Rhinolophus ferrumequinum: one gene and its partner. The protein of the gene in region 2 purifies or fractionates together with the protein of the main gene of each other region. This does not show direct contact. Links are inferred from orthologs where the notes say so. Each region holds a gene or a part of one and is shown on either strand. Other genes may lie near its edges.

Region 1 (8,160 bases), on a different chromosome or scaffold from region 2:
TCCAAAACAGAGCACTAGTATTTACTGATTGCCTACCATGTCCAAGGTGCTGTATGAGGCACCACAGAGGCCAAGAAATCCCAGACAAAAACCAAAGGGCTCAAACTGGGAGCCAGTAGAGGTATGACGTTTGGCCTGCACAGAATTGGACTGCAGTATTTTACTAATTTTTTTAACTTTTTAATTTTGAAATTAATTTATACTTAGAGGACCTTACAAAAACAGCAGTTCCCACATACGCTGCACTCAGCTTCCCCAAAGATAACATCCTGCATAACCACAGGACAATGACAGGAACTAGGAAATTAACATTGATAGTTCTGTTAATTAATCTGATTCCTTACTTTAATTTCACCAGTTTTCCAAATAAGTTTATTTGTGGACCACAGTATTGTTAAATGTTTTAATTAATTACCAACATTTTTAAAAAGTAAGAGATTTCCCATAACATTCTAGATTCCAAGCTTCTCTTGAAAAACCAGATCTGGCCACACGGGGCCTGTATTCCTGTATGGCAATAATCAGCCAGCTCCCAGCAGCAACTGTACCCTTTACAGAGGGCACATGCTCCCCAGTTTGGCACCGTACTTTCACTCCCTGATACAAAGACTATCAGTTGCTACTTGTCACTGAGCTAGCACTATTGCCTTTTTTGCAGTAGAATTATGAGGAAAGTGAAATTGTCCTAATACCTGTGTCTATCAAAAGTAACAAAAATGGAAGGTAGACAAAGAGGGACACATGTGTAGAGAAAAATGAGAGTACCATATTTCTTTGTGGAAAGGAAGAATATTCCTACATGTTACATATGTGAACAAAGTATGTTTTTGATTACAACTTACCCCTATTTTTTTAATTTATATCACATGCCTGGCCCCTATGCCTTTGAGATTGCTAACCCCTTACACAGATTTTACCCTAAAGAAGATTTGCTGTAAAAACAAGGCACATGTTTGTAGAAATTTAGACAACAGTTATATAATAAATATACAAAAATATGCCAAGATGTCAACCCTGGATCATTCAAACTCTGTCTTAACCATTTCCAACACCTAGACTTCAAAATGTTGTTGGGGAAGATCTGCAGTCTTGCAGACTGGGACCAGCATGACTTCAGAGGCCACCTGGGCTGGCCCTTCACCATCCCTAACTATTCTACTCAGCCCTATGCAGCTCCTCAGCCCACTGCCCTATGCAGCTCTTCTAAACATTCAATACCTTCCTCAAATTTCTCCTCCACTACTCCCCATCTCATTTTCGGTAAATGGCTTTGCCGTCTGTTTCTCAAAAAAAGAAACATCATTGAGCAGTAATTCTTTCACATCCTCAAATCCATGCCTTTTTCACTCACAAGCTATTTGCTACCTCTGAGAACAACGCTTGCCCCTGTACAGGTCCCATCCTCGCCTACTGCTTCAGAAATCTTGCTCTCACCCCCATCCCCCTCATTTATTCAACTCTCACTCTCTACTGGCTCTTTTCCTTCAATATAACAAGCATGCTTAAGTCTGTCCCAGCTTTCAAATGTAAACAGATCAAAACAACCTCTTTCAACCACACTTTCCACTAGCAACCATCCTGTATCTCATCGTCTCTTCACAGCCAAGTGAACTGAACAAGTGTCTATGGTTAAGGTCTCCCACCCACGACAATTGGCTTTAGCCTGAGCCACTTAAAACTAATCTCAATATTAATAGCACCAATAGCTTCTTTGCCAAAACCAATGGAAATTTTTGTGTCTGACACTGGGGCCCACTTCCTCTTAGAAATGCTCTACTCCCTTGGCTTCTCTGATACCACTGTCTTGGAAGTCCTCTTACCTTTCTAGTGGTTCCTTCTCAGATTGGCTCAAGTCCCCAACCTCTTCTTACTATAACATTTCCAGGGGGCAACCTCCCTGAGCCCAACTACGCTCTTGGGCACTTGGCATATCCATGTCTCTCACACTTGGCATATCCACGTCTCTCACACTGGAGCATAAATTTGCTTTTCTTTCTGCCTTCCCCCAGACTGTTTGCTTTTTCAGATCAGAACTATGTTTCAGCTCTGTACCCTCCCGACCCCAATATCCAACCAGCCTGGCATATAACGTAGTAACAAAGACTTTCTGTTGAAGAAGTGAATGTTAGCAAACTTAACTGAGCCCCCATGACCACGTGCATGGTATTAAGGACATCAATTTTATATTAATGGCCACAAAGTCTGCACAGTGATGGCTTAATACCATGCTTTGGAGTCAGACAACTTGGGTTTCCAATACCATTCAGTGTCCCCTACCAGGCCTGTGATCTTGGGCAAGTAGGCCTCCCTGAGCCAGAGTTTCCTCATTGTCAGTGGAGCTACTGGTAATTATGGTAACTGCTTCTTCAGATTGTAAGAATTAAATCTGAAAAATACCTGTGAAGTCTTCGGAGGGGTCCTAGCATATAATAGGAATTAGCAACACCTAATGTTTGCAATAAATAATAGCAAAGTAAGTTAGCATTATGGTTAGTTACTTTAGCGTCAGGTAAATGCCTCCGGCTCTTTACTAACTAAATTTAGAGCACTACCAGATTTCCATGCTAATCACCAGGAAAACAACCAAAAAAATCTGCTTTCTGCCACCATTTGGAAACATTCCTCCATTTATTCATTAAATAAATGTTTTACTGAGTCCTTACTGTGGCAACATTCTGCTTTAGGCTCTGTTCTGAAGCTTATTTGGCACAAAGACCAGGTGATTGCGCTTGGCAAGCGAATTAAACCAAATATCAAAGCTTCCCCAGTCCACTGGCTGTCCCCAAAAGTAAAACAGAAACTGAGCACCCGGCAGGAAAGCGGACCAAAAGTGAGTGCCCGCGAAGGCAGCGCGGGGCCGGCCAGCACCCTCGCGCCCCCCTGAACCCCGCGGCCCCGCGCCCAGCACCTCCCCCTGGGTTGACAGCAAAGGCTCTGGGGCAGTGGCGCTCCCCAACGCCACCTGTCAAAAGAGCGCCCCGTGCGCCGGGGAAAAGAAAGACGCCCAGGCTCGCGGAGGACACACTCTTTGCCTTGTTCCTGATCTGCTGGAGAGCCGACCTGTAGCCGACCTCTGAGCCCTGGTTTGATGACCGCGTCTCCCCGCTGACACTCTGACTCCGCTGCTGGCCCCGCGCTCCTCTGGCGGAGCAGCAGAAACGTCTCCTATCGGAGGGGGTGGGTTTGGGGGGATTGACAATCACACAGCCTCGCAGCGGCCCTGGTCACCCCACCTGCTGCCCGGAGGCCGAGGTGCGCTAGCAAGACCTACCTGCCTGCCGAGTCTTCTCGGCTGACACCTGTCGCCCCGGCAGTTCCGCGCGGGTTAGAGTCTCACGCTGCTGTTAAATGTCCCACTGCGCCCTCCCCACCCCCACCTACACACACCCGACACACCCGGTGTCCTGCACTCCTAGTGGTTGGTGCTTTCCTCTTAGGACTTAGGGGAAATCCAGCGGCAATAACCACATACACTTCCCCTTCTTAATCAGTGGTCTGGCAAAACCACTGGGGGATTTCCATGACCGTAAAAGCATGACTATTTCTTAACCGTGGCGTATCCGTGGCATTTACTGAAAGATCTTTACTTCTTTGTTCGTGGGTCAGAGGAAATATTGATAACCTGTGTTGAGTAGCTGATCATTGGTCAGCCTGACTGGAAAAGGCCCATTTCCTAATATACATATTTTGAAAAGAAGAGAAAAAATAAACTTTGTGAAATCTTTCTGATAATTTTTACTTTATGTTCTAATCAAGAAAGTTAAGGCATGAATGGAAATGCAGAAGCATGTAAAAAAAAATCACATGACTCTCCTTTTCAGTTCAGTTTTACTGTGTTAAAGATTGAGATCACCTCGTTAGTTTCCTATATTGAAATGGTTTTGTTGGTTGGTTGGTTGGTTGTTTTTCTAACGAGGGTAGAATTGGCTATAAAAAAAATTCTGCTTTTTGTCTCACAGAGGAGACATCTAAGTTACTGTGATATTCTCATGGAAACTTGAAGTTTGAGTCTAACTGCACTGCCATATTTCCTCCACATTCCTTGTCTAAGCAGTACATTTAAGCAACTTTCTCTAACGTCAGTGCTTGCCAGGAAGCAGATGGACGAAGAGAGCTCACCTGATTTTCCTGTCTTGCAGTAGATCAAAGATAATTGGGAACCAAAGGCAGAATCTATAATATTATTCATTAATTCATCATTATCCTGTGGAAACAAGAAGATGTGCCCATTCCATTCAGTATAACCAGGATGAGTTCCAGTTAGAGTCCCAGTCGGAATTATATCAAAAAGATTAAGTTCGTCTATCATGGAGAGGCTTCAATCATCGTTTGAACCTGCTTAGTTCAAAACTGTGTAAGCCATTTTCAACTCACCTTTGGATGATCAAAAACATTTTGTGGTCTTTATACACTTTTGATCATGTACCCACCAAAAAAATTTTGAAAAACTATTCCTCTGAGCATTTTTAACTTGACATTAAAACATAAAAGTTGTAGTAATTGGAAAGGAACTACAAAATGTAGACACAGATATTTTAGAATAAAACTGATCCAGGACTCTTTTAAATGTATTCAAATATCATAGCCATTTGATAGCCACTGTTATCTGTTCAACAATTAACACATTAGCTCATCTGTAATAACTGGAAATAGTATGTCACTGCCTTTTGTCCTTTTTGAACATTCTACTTCCCCCACCGAATTTTAATATATGTTCATAATGGACATCTTTATGATCACTTGGGCACATATTTCTGAAACAATGTATGTATAAATTGAAATTCAATTTTTTTTCCTGTGATCATAACCCTCTAAGTGTTAAAGAAAAATTACTCCGGATTGCATCACAGTGCTTAATACACAACTGGTCAAAATAATATAAATATGTTATAAATGTTGATAATTACTAAAGATAAAAAGTTAAATTCTATTACAAATGCAATCTTAATGGGGTTGCAGTATATATTTGAACAATTTTTCAAGTATGTTCATGAATATTACCTATTGCTAGAATATGATAGGGTTCAGCATAGATTCTGTTCCTTTTTTTTCATTTCTAAAGATTGTAAGTGTTGAAAAATCTACATATTAATAAATAAGTAGATAGGCCACGCCCAGAAGAAATGTTATTATATCAACTTTTCACAATTTTTTGAACATTTGTTTTATAGCCCAAAAGTCATTTAGTGATGTTTAATGCAAAAAGTTAATTAGTTATCAGTAGACAACTCGATTTTGTTTAAATCGGTGATTTGGAAACCACAAAATGTTTGTTCCCTAGGTAGGGTTGCCAGAGTTAGCAAATTAAAATACAGGGCACCTAGTTAAATTTAAATTTGAGATACATAACAAATGAGTATGTCCCATGCAATACATTATTCATTGATTATCTGAAAGTCAAATTTAACTGGGTGTCCTATATTTTATCTGGCAACTCTATAGCCAGATATCAGAACCATTCATTTTCTCAACACTAAACAATGAATATTTCTAATTGTCCAGGAAGATTTTACGCCTAAGGGCAATACATCATTTTAAAACCCAAGATGGATAACAGGTGAGCCTGTATTTCCTAAGAAGAGAGAACCATTGTGAAAAGGTTGGTGAGAAGAAAAAAGAGACCTGGCAACTGGAACAGCTCTTGGTTTCAGGCAGATCAGTTTTAGGAAAAACTACATGTGGAAATATAACATCAGGTTGTTAATTCCCTTAAAACTGTTTGGGTTCCCACTTACACATTTTTACATCTTTGTAAAGACTTGGTGTTTACCAAAGAGAACACTTATACCAATTTAAAAACCGTGGGCTAAGAAATCCTGCACTGACGAGGATTCCCAAGTTCTTCCAAATGATGATTGTTGGGATCAGACTTGTCTGGGCTTGGAGTGGATTGTTATGTCTCTTTTGCAACATTTTACACAACTTTTATCGTTGATTTAAAAAAACAACAACATAGCGGCGCCCGGCTAGCTCAGTCGGTAGCGCATGAGACTCTTAAAAAAACAACAACAAAGGAATTGTTTTCCTGTAACAATTCTAAGTTCCTAGGCGCAAGGACTGTATATATTTTATTCACCTCATTATTCTAGTACTAGCAGGGCACCAGCAAATAGTAGGTGCTCAATAAATCTTTGTTGACTCACAAAAATGGAGTCAATCTATCCACTTGGGCCTACTCTATTCCAAAACTGTACCCAGATTTTTAATAGTGTAACACACTTTACATTTTCCTTCTAATCTTATGAATATTCCAAATATGTTATATAAAAACTCCCCTTTTCCTTCCAGCATCCAACTTACCTAAATATATTTTCTCTCCAAATACTCTTTTAGAGACAGAAATAAGAAAGGAAATGTTTGAGGAAAGTGACAAGGTAGACACATAGGGCTATTAGTATCTCTAGTTCTCCGGTTTTTTTCTACTGTCAATGTGTATGTGTTGAGAAGGCATTTCACCTCATTCCTGGTTTGGGACTTTGATAACTCTTAACAGTGGTATGTTCTCAATATTGTGTTATTACATAATCAACTTTAAAGTGTTTTTTTCCTTGAGGGTAATTATGGTAAAAAATTCTTTCTTTGGAAGGAATTTCACATAATAATAATAATAATCCTGTAACAACTTCAGTTCCAGCCTAATACTATTGCACTATAAGTTTTTAACATTTTTCATTAAAGAAATACATAAAGATTCTACCCAGAATCTAGAATTGAAAGTAAAAGTGAAATCTAACAAAGGAAACGTACAGTCTGATTCCAAAGTAAGTAAGAGAGTCATTGTAAATGCTGGAAATTTCCTAGTCTCTTGACAACTTTATATCTTGCAAATAAAATAGTTAGATCATCCTGAACAAGTGCTAATGAAATAATTTACAAATAAATATCTTTTAATATAGACAGACTGTTCTCAATGGAATGAAGTTTGCCCTTATAAATGATGGCTTACTTTTAATTTCTTTGTCCTGACAATACTTTAATGACACATAATTTACATAGTTAAAGTGCACACATCTTAAGTGTACAGCTCATGAATTTTGAAAAATCCATATACTTGGGTGACCATCAACCAGATCAAGATGAAGAACATTCTCCATTACCCCAGAAAATTCCTTCATGCCTTTTTCCAGTCAATACCTATCAACTCCTCCATCCCCGTCTCAACCACTGTTCTGATTTTTATCACCATAGATTTTATTTGTCTGTTCTTGAACTTAGTGTAAATGGCAGCATACGGTGTGTACTCATAAAGGTTTATTTCACTCATGTTTTTAGTTTCACCCATATTGTAGTGTGTAGCAATAGTTTGTTCTTTGTGTTGCCAAGTAGTATTTCACTGGGTGAATATACATAGTTTGTTATCCATTCTCCTCCTGATGGACGTTTGGGTTACCTGGTTTGATTCCTTATGAAGTGTGAAGATATGAACATTTCAGTTCAAGTCTTTTTGTGGATCTATTTCTGTTGCATATTATTGCCATTGGACAGGTGTATGTTTATTATTATTAGAAACTGCCAAAAACTTTTACAAAATGTCTGCACCATTTTACACTCCCACCAGCAATATATAAGAATTCTAGTTTCTGAATATTCTTCCTAAGATTTGATATTGTCAACTTTTTAAATTTCAACTCTTATTTTGAGCATGTAGTATTATTTCATTATGCTTTCAATTTTTATTTCCCTAGTGATTAATGATGTTTAATACATTTTCATATGCTTTTTGATGATTTATATATCATCTTTTGTGAAGTGCCTGTTCAAATCTTCTGTCCATTTTTAAACTGAATTGACCTTTTATTATTGATTTACGGAAGTTCTTTATATATTCTGGATATGAGTCCTTTGATATGTACATTGTGACTATTTCCTCCAAGTTGATGGCTTGCCTTTATTAATGGTTTCTTTTAATGGTTAGAATATTTTAATTCTCAATAAGTCTAATTTAACAATTTTTTGCTTTTATGTATAGTGCATTTCATATCCTGTTTAAAAAACCTGTATCTACCCCAAGATCAGAAGATTATCTTCTATATTTTCTTTTAGAACTTTGTAATATTAGCTTTAACACTTAAAACTGTGGTTTATGTCAAATTAATTTTTGCATATGATGTGAGATGAGGGCCACGGTTCATTTTTTTCCTCCATTGTTCCAACACAGTT
Region 2 (7,517 bases):
TTAGTTTTAAATTTTTAAACTGTTAGATGCAACTACAGTATCAGCCTCACAGCAGCATGTAACCCGTATTTAATTCAACTGAACTAAATTCCACCCAAAACATGAGGTAAAAAGCTAGATGGGGCAGGATGGAAAAGGAGTATAGTGAAGAAGTAGGAGTTTCCAGGAGGACGGGTGATGGTATACTATTCATCAAGACAGAGACTATAGTAGGAACAGCAAGCAGCTTTGGGGGAGGGAAAATAAAAAGTTCAATTTTAGACAAGGTGAGGAATCTGCATGACATAAAGTGGATTTCCAGTAGATACCTGGAAATAAGTGCCTATAGTTCAGAGAGAAGAAAGTTCAAATATGTGGCTGATAACTATCTAAAGCAGGGGTGTCCAGACTGCGGCCCGCTGGCTAACTGCGGCCCATGATCCATTGTTAACTGGCCCGCAGCAAATTCCAAAAATATATTTAGTTTACTTAAATAAACCAGGTGAGGCAATACGTACTTCACCTCGAGTGAGTGGCCCGGCTGCTTGTGTATTTTACCGCATATGGCCCTTGGTGAAAAACGTTGAAAAAAGTTTGGACACCCCGGGTCTAAGGTCATAAACCATTTTGAAAATATCATGAAAAAAATTTCTAAGAAAAATATGTGCACATACTTTTTTTCATAGACCTCCTGAAACCCATCCATGACTCCCCAAGGTTATGAATTTCTGATATAGCTGTAAAATGAAATCATGGAGATGAATATCAACGAACTGATAGAAAAAAATAAACACCTGGAAGCCACTCTTCACATCTGCGTTGGCATACAAGTTTTACATCCTCCCACTTGTAACCTCTCACTGCCTGTTTTATCCGCTGTAAAATAGGAATGACAATTATCTCCCTTAGACATTGTTGTAAAGATTAAATGGGTTGGTGCAACCACTATGGAAGGCAGTGTGGAGATTCCTCAAAAATTTAAGAATACAATTACCATATGACCCAGGAATCCCTCTCCTGTGTATCTACCCAAAAAAATCTGAAAACATTTATCCATAAAGACATGTGCGCTCCAATGTTCACCGTTTATTTACGGTGGCCAAGACAAACAACCAAAATGTCCTTTGATAGATGAATGGATAAAGAAGTTGTGGTATATATACACAATGGAATATTATTCGGCGGTAAGAAAAGATGAAATAGGACCATTTGTGACAACATGGATGGAACTTAAAATTATAAGGCTAAGTGAAATAAGTCAGACAGAAATAGTAGAGAACCATACGATTTCACTGATACGTGGTATATAAAACTGAAAACAACAAAAGAACACGACAAAAAAAAGAAGGACTAAAAACTCATAGACACAGACAATAAATAGTTTAGGGGTTACCAGAGGGTAAGGAGGGAGGGGGCCTCTAGAAGAGGGTAAATGGGATCTAATATATGGTGATGGAAAGAGAACTGACTCTGGGTGGTGAACACACAATGTGAGATATAGATGATGTATTACAGAATTGTACACCTGAAATCTATGTAACTTTACTAACAATTATCACCCCAACAAACTTTAATTTAAAAAAAAAAAGATTAAATGGGAACATTGTAAGTAGTGTGACACAGCATCTGGAACAAAGCAAGCCTAGTTTTGAAGTTCATGGTTTTACTGGCACAAATCTTGAGTAAGACAACACTCATTTATTCTATATTAGTTATCAATGTCCCAGTCTTATATCAACTAAATGTAAAGCAGATCCTCATTTTTTGTATCTTTCCAGGCTCAAGGACAGTACTTTCCTTACAGTAAGTGTTCCATAAATATCTGCTGAATGAGGAAACTAAGGCATACTGTTATTGAGTCATACTAACTGTAATTATGAGTACAGCGTAATAAACCTTACAGGGGAGAGAAAAGGAAGGGATCTGAAGTAGATGAACATTCACAAAGATGAAATTGTGAGTTTTGTAGTGTTAAACCACAGCACACTTCATGTTGTTTGTTTTTAACTTGAATTAATATATTTTAGTGGCATTCGTACAGGTCTTATACTGCAAAACAACTGAAAGCAAAGGAAAAGGAGAAACAAGTCATACCTCAACAAAGTCATTCTTTAAGAATATATATTAAGATTTTCTGCAGCATCCAAGCAAAAGAGCAAAATTCAGCTATTGGATATTTTCGGTGTTTGCTTGTAAATTAATTCTCGGCTACACGTATTCATCCCCCTCCCCTCAATTTAAATATGTGGGCGTTCGCTTACTAGGGGAATTCCAGATCGTGCTTTCAGCTGTTGAGCTTCCTCAACCCCTTTTGCAAAAGTGTTTCACATATTGGCTCCACTGCTTGGGATCCTTCATCGGGTCCAGCCTCCAGGTCGAGCCAGCAGCCTGGACAGTCTGACTCAAAGATGAACCTGAGCCGCTCGCTGATCTCTAACAACGAACGCGGCACCAAAGCGCAGGGGGGTAAACCCACCAGGGAACAGGTGAGGGGTGGGCAAGAAGCAGACAGTGAAGTAACGCTCCACTGAAGGCGGCTTCAGAAACCCACGCCCTGCTTTTGGCGATTCAAAACTTGGACTGACATGTCGCCGAAGGATCACTTCCACCAAGGTCCCTCGAAGGCAGGGCCCACTGCCCACCGGTTCCCTCCTCGACCCACAGGCTCCTCCTCCCACTCGCACTCCGGGTTTCCGCTTTCCTCGCCCGCGGGGCTGCAGCCCGCCCCCGCCCGCCCCCAGCCCGCGGGGCGCCTGGGTAAGGCTGTGCTACTCACGTCCTTCTTCACTTCAGTCAGGTCCTCTTCTGTGAGGGACGGCGCGACGGGCTCCATGGCGGAGGCGGGAGATGGCGCTTCTTCCGGGTCCGGGAGCTCGGGTTGCGCCGCTCCACCTAAACTGGAGGCTTCGGCCTCGGGATGAGGGACAAGAAGCGGAGGCGGAGCGGTTCAGGAGGAAGAGGGCTGCCCCTTGGAAAACAGGAGGGTCTCGGAAGTCACACTGTGGCGCTTCCGGCGCTGCCTGTGGAGCCGACACAACAGCAGACCCACGGCATAAAGACGCGGCCCGCGGCCCCGCGTTCCTTCCCTCTCCTACAGGCTCCAGCGCAGGTGCGGCAGGGCCCTCGGCAGAGCCCGCCCCGTCCCTGCGGCAGCCAATCGGTGCCAGCCCGCGGGCCAACCTGTCTCCGCCCTCCCGGCCCGAGCCTTTAAGGAGTGGCTTCGCCCACATCCTCCAGGTCTTTTGCATGTGACATCGGTTTGGCCTCCCGGAAAGGCAAGGTTTCCGTGGGTGGAACCGGTTGCTGCTGTGCGGGCGGACCCTCCCCGCCTTTGCCGACTGCTCACTGGTGGAGTCTGGTCTCGGCTGATCTGTGCCTTTGGGTTCCTCCCCTTTTCCCAGACCTTGCTCTACAATTTCCTGTTGCTGTATTTGCCCACTCAAGTTTTTAAATTATTTGATCAGGCGCAGGCACGCGCGCAGGCGCATACACTCACAACCTAACTACAATACTAAAGAAATTTTTGAAAGAGCAGAACCACCTACAATCCCACCACTTTAACATGTAATTTATTGTATGCATACTGTTTATTATACACATATTTCCATATTTATTCTGTGTAATGAAGCTAGATCTACCTCAATAGGGCTGCTGTGAGAATTAAATATAAATGTAAAGTTCTTAGAGGTACTTGGCACACGGTAAGCACTCAATTTATTATTTATTATGTATTATTCAAACATTTATTGAGTCCTTACTAATATGTTCTAGGCATCTTATCCTATAAGAGTTCTCCCATTTTACTGGGGAGACTGATGAACAGACAGCCATTCCCAGATGGTATTCTAATAGAGGTGTATACAGAGAAACATGAGTAAGTCGGTGAGAAGCTCAATACAGAACCCTGGGCCCAACCTTAGGGTGGACAATATGCTAAATAAACTAAAAATAAACTAGATGGTATTTGAAGCTGTCATGCAGAGACTGATGTGGGGTCTCTGGCCCCACTCCTCATATAAGAACGCAGGACATGGTGAGGCCAAAAAGGAACACCCACAGAGCCATACATAGGGGATTCATACCACTATAGTCTCGCTGGCGGCTGGTTTGGAGACACAGGAAGCAAGAGCCACGCTCTCCGCAACCTGCCATCCACATCTCTGTCTGCCAACCAACCAACCCCAGCTAGCTGCAATCTGCAGTGCTAACTGCAATCTGCTCTTGCTAGCTCAGCCACCATCTTCTTGCCAGCCCCCATTTGCTGCTAGCATAGCCACGGCAGTTATATTAGCGGCCAATGGCTCACTGCTGACAGCCAACCAGCCACAGCTGATGGCCATCCAATCACAGTTGATGGCCATTTACTACCCGAGTGAGCACCTTTCCACGTGAGGGCGAGAGCCTGGAAACTGCACTCCTGGCTCTGTCCCCACAGAAGCTATAAGGGTAGATAAAAATGACAAGAGAACCAAAAACAAACTGGGGGACCTGAACATTTAAGGGGAAAAGAAAGGGAAAGAACCAGAAAAAAAATGTTGCCAAAGCCACACCAATGTAGTTTTGATCACAACACAGGGATTCTGCATTTAACGTTAACATTGTGTCATATGTCTTTTTCCACATTGATACACAATACTTTTTCTGATTGCTTAATATTCCACCATCGTGGTATTGCCCAATTTACTTAACCATTTGTTCTTTCATTTCACAAATATTTATTGAATGTTAACTAAGTGCCAGACTGTTCTAGGTAATGAGGAAACAGCTGCGAGCAGCGCAGATGAATTTCCCTTTCCTCCTGGAGTTTAAATTCTAGCGTACTCGTATGTGTGTTTCAGGCAGGGCAGATAGACATTTGAGAAATGTTGTATAAATGATGTCAGAAGATGATAAATACTAAGAGAAAATATAAAACAGGGAAGTAGGATGAGGCTTTACGGAGTGGTAAAATTTAAAATAGGGTAGTTAATAATAGACCTCCCTGGGGGAGGTTTGAGTTACCACTTGAAGCAAGGGAGGGAATGAACCGTGTGGACATGGAGAAAGAACAGAAGAGCAGAGAGAAGAACCAATAAAAAGGATCCAGTGTGACTGGGAAGGAGATGAGATCCTTGTGTGCCAGTGTAAAAGTTTACTCTGACTTTGCTCTGAGTCATATGGGCTTGCTTACTCTGAGTCAGATGGGAAGCCACTGGAGAGTTCCGAACAGAGGAGTGACTTGATCCGATTTATGATTTGAAAGGGAGCATTTTCACTGTCTCCTTGAGTTAAGGAGGATGGAAGAGGGGAAACTAGTTAGGAGCTATTGTCATAATCCAGGCCTCAGGACGTGGTGGCTCAGACCACGATTGGTAGCTATGAGGGTGGTGAGAACATTTTGAGAAGTGGGGAAGTGATTTCATTTCCTTTTAAAAGAATCACTCTGACCGCTGAGTAAAGAGTGGACTGTAGGTGTAAGGGGGAAACAAAGAGACAGGCTGGAGGCTATTACAGCGATCCAGGCAAAGATGGAGGGTAGTGTGACCAGGGTGGGAGCAGCGGTGAGCACTCCATGGTTACCCTAAGTTATTCCAAAATTTTCCTTGTTATAACATTTGTCCCCAGATTTTTAATCTACCTGTTCCCCATCTTTTTTTCTTTTGAAATATCATTTCCTTTGCATAAATTCCCAGGAGAAGGAGCACAGAGCCCAAGGAAATGATTATTGTCTGTCATTTCATATATATTTTCACAGGTTCTCTCCAAAGTACTGTTTCATCCATGTGTGGGAATGAACTGTTTTGCCATAACCATATCAGCTCTGTTGATGAAAGAGGGGATTCAGTACACATCAAAGCAAAGTGATTTGAATGATGCCAATTTGAGACACCCATTTTGATCTAGCCATTATGATGTTGGTGTTCTATTTTTTAAATTTTTTTTTATTGGGGAATATTGGGGAACAGTGTGTTTTTCCAGGACCCATCAGCTCCAAGTCGGATCGTTGTCCTTCAATCTAGTTGTGGAGGGCGCAGCTCAGCTCCAAGTCTAGTCGCTGTTTTCAATCTTAGTTGCAGCAGGTGCAGCCCACCATCCCATGTAGGAACTGAACTGGCAACCTTGTTAAGAGCTTGCGCTCGAACCAACTGAGCCATCCGGCCACCCTTTCTGTTCTTTGTTAAGTGAAACATTCAAACACACCAAACTATAAAGAATAATATTACAAACACCCTGCGTTCATTACTAAGATTTAACAAATATTGATATTTTGCCACATTTGCTTCTGTTACGGCTTTTGATTACCCAATGTTAGTGGCAGACATCGCTGATTCTTGAGACTTCTTTCATGATGTTACTGTGCATCTGACTCTTTCCTTGTCGTTGACCATCATTTCATTTGTGACACCTCCAATGTTCTTCCATCCTTGATATTCATTCCCTTATTTATTTATTTAACTAAAAAGTTGTGTCTGCTATGTGTCAGAAGTGGGAGTTATGGAATGAGGATCAGGGGTTGGGTGGAACTGAGTAAGGAGCTTCGGGATTTTTAACAGCTGAAAATTTAATATTTTGTTTTTGAGGACATGTCTCAACGTTCCCAAGTCGAGTTGTCTGTGTCAAAGCAGCCATATATGAATGTCATATGCCTATCACAGAGCTAGTTCATGGCAGGTGTAGTTCCTGCTTTCTTTCTAGTGTACCACACTTCCTTCATAAGCAAACTCACTTCCCCTTCTCTGCCAAATCACAGGATCAGACAGTAGGGGAGGTTGGGCACGTTTTCAAGAAAGCAGTCCTGCCCAGTCTCTATCTTGCAATAATTCTACCTCCATCCCCTCCTCAACTTCTAGGTGCACCATCTGCCTCTTACTGTGAAATACGAGGCGTCTGATAAATATACTGTGAAGAAAACAGTTTCGGTGCTGCAAACACAAGGTAGCATATCATAGTTGTTAAGAATGAAGCTGTTTGGCATCTGACCGACCTAGGCTGGTATAATAGTTTCCTAGGGCTGCTGTAACAAATTACCACAAACTGGATGGCTTAAAACAATAAACATTTATTCTCTCATAGTTCTGGGGGCTGGAATTCCAATATAGGCAGGGCCATGCTCCCTCCAAAGGCTCTAGGGAAGCATCTTTCCTTGCCTCCTCCTAGCTTCTAGTGGTTGCAGGCAATCCGTGGCATTCTTTGCCTGTGGCAGCGTAACTCCAATCTCTGCCTCCATCTTTACATGGCCTTCTTTTCTGTTTTCTTCCTATGCCTCTGTCTCCAAGTTTCTTCTTCTCATAGGGACACTAATCATTGGATTTAGGGCACGCTCTAATCCTATATGACCCTATCTTAACTTGATTACCTCTGTAAAGATACTATTTTCAAATAAGGTCACGTTTCGAGGTGCCAGTGGACATGAATTTTGGGAAGACACTGTTCAACTCAGAGCAGTTGGATTCTAGATTTGCCAATTATTGACTGTATGACCTGGGAATAATTAATAAGCATTCAATAAAGACAGCTCTGATAGAAATGCGGGGGGAGGGAAGAGGAAACCATTTCTG

What was found.
Region 1: the proteins of BCL10 (region 2) and BIRC3 purify together in Homo sapiens (affinity purification with western blotting; 5 studies listed by BioGRID and IntAct, with this or other methods). This does not show direct contact. The link is inferred for Rhinolophus ferrumequinum from reciprocal best matches to the Homo sapiens genes BCL10 and BIRC3.

What each region holds. Positions count from the first base shown.
Region 1 is NC_046294.1:71,855,072-71,863,231, reverse strand, and holds the start of BIRC3 (baculoviral IAP repeat-containing protein 3), read right to left. Parts: upstream 3,405-8,160; 5' UTR 3,272-3,404; intron 1-3,271. UniProt on the Homo sapiens protein: Multi-functional protein which regulates not only caspases and apoptosis, but also modulates inflammatory signaling and immunity, mitogenic kinase signaling and cell proliferation, as well as cell invasion and metastasis.
Region 2 is NC_046292.1:64,039,600-64,047,116, forward strand, and holds the start of BCL10 (B-cell lymphoma/leukemia 10), read right to left. Parts: upstream 3,081-7,517; 5' UTR 2,813-3,080; coding exon 2,756-2,812; intron 1-2,755. UniProt on the Homo sapiens protein: Plays a key role in both adaptive and innate immune signaling by bridging CARD domain-containing proteins to immune activation.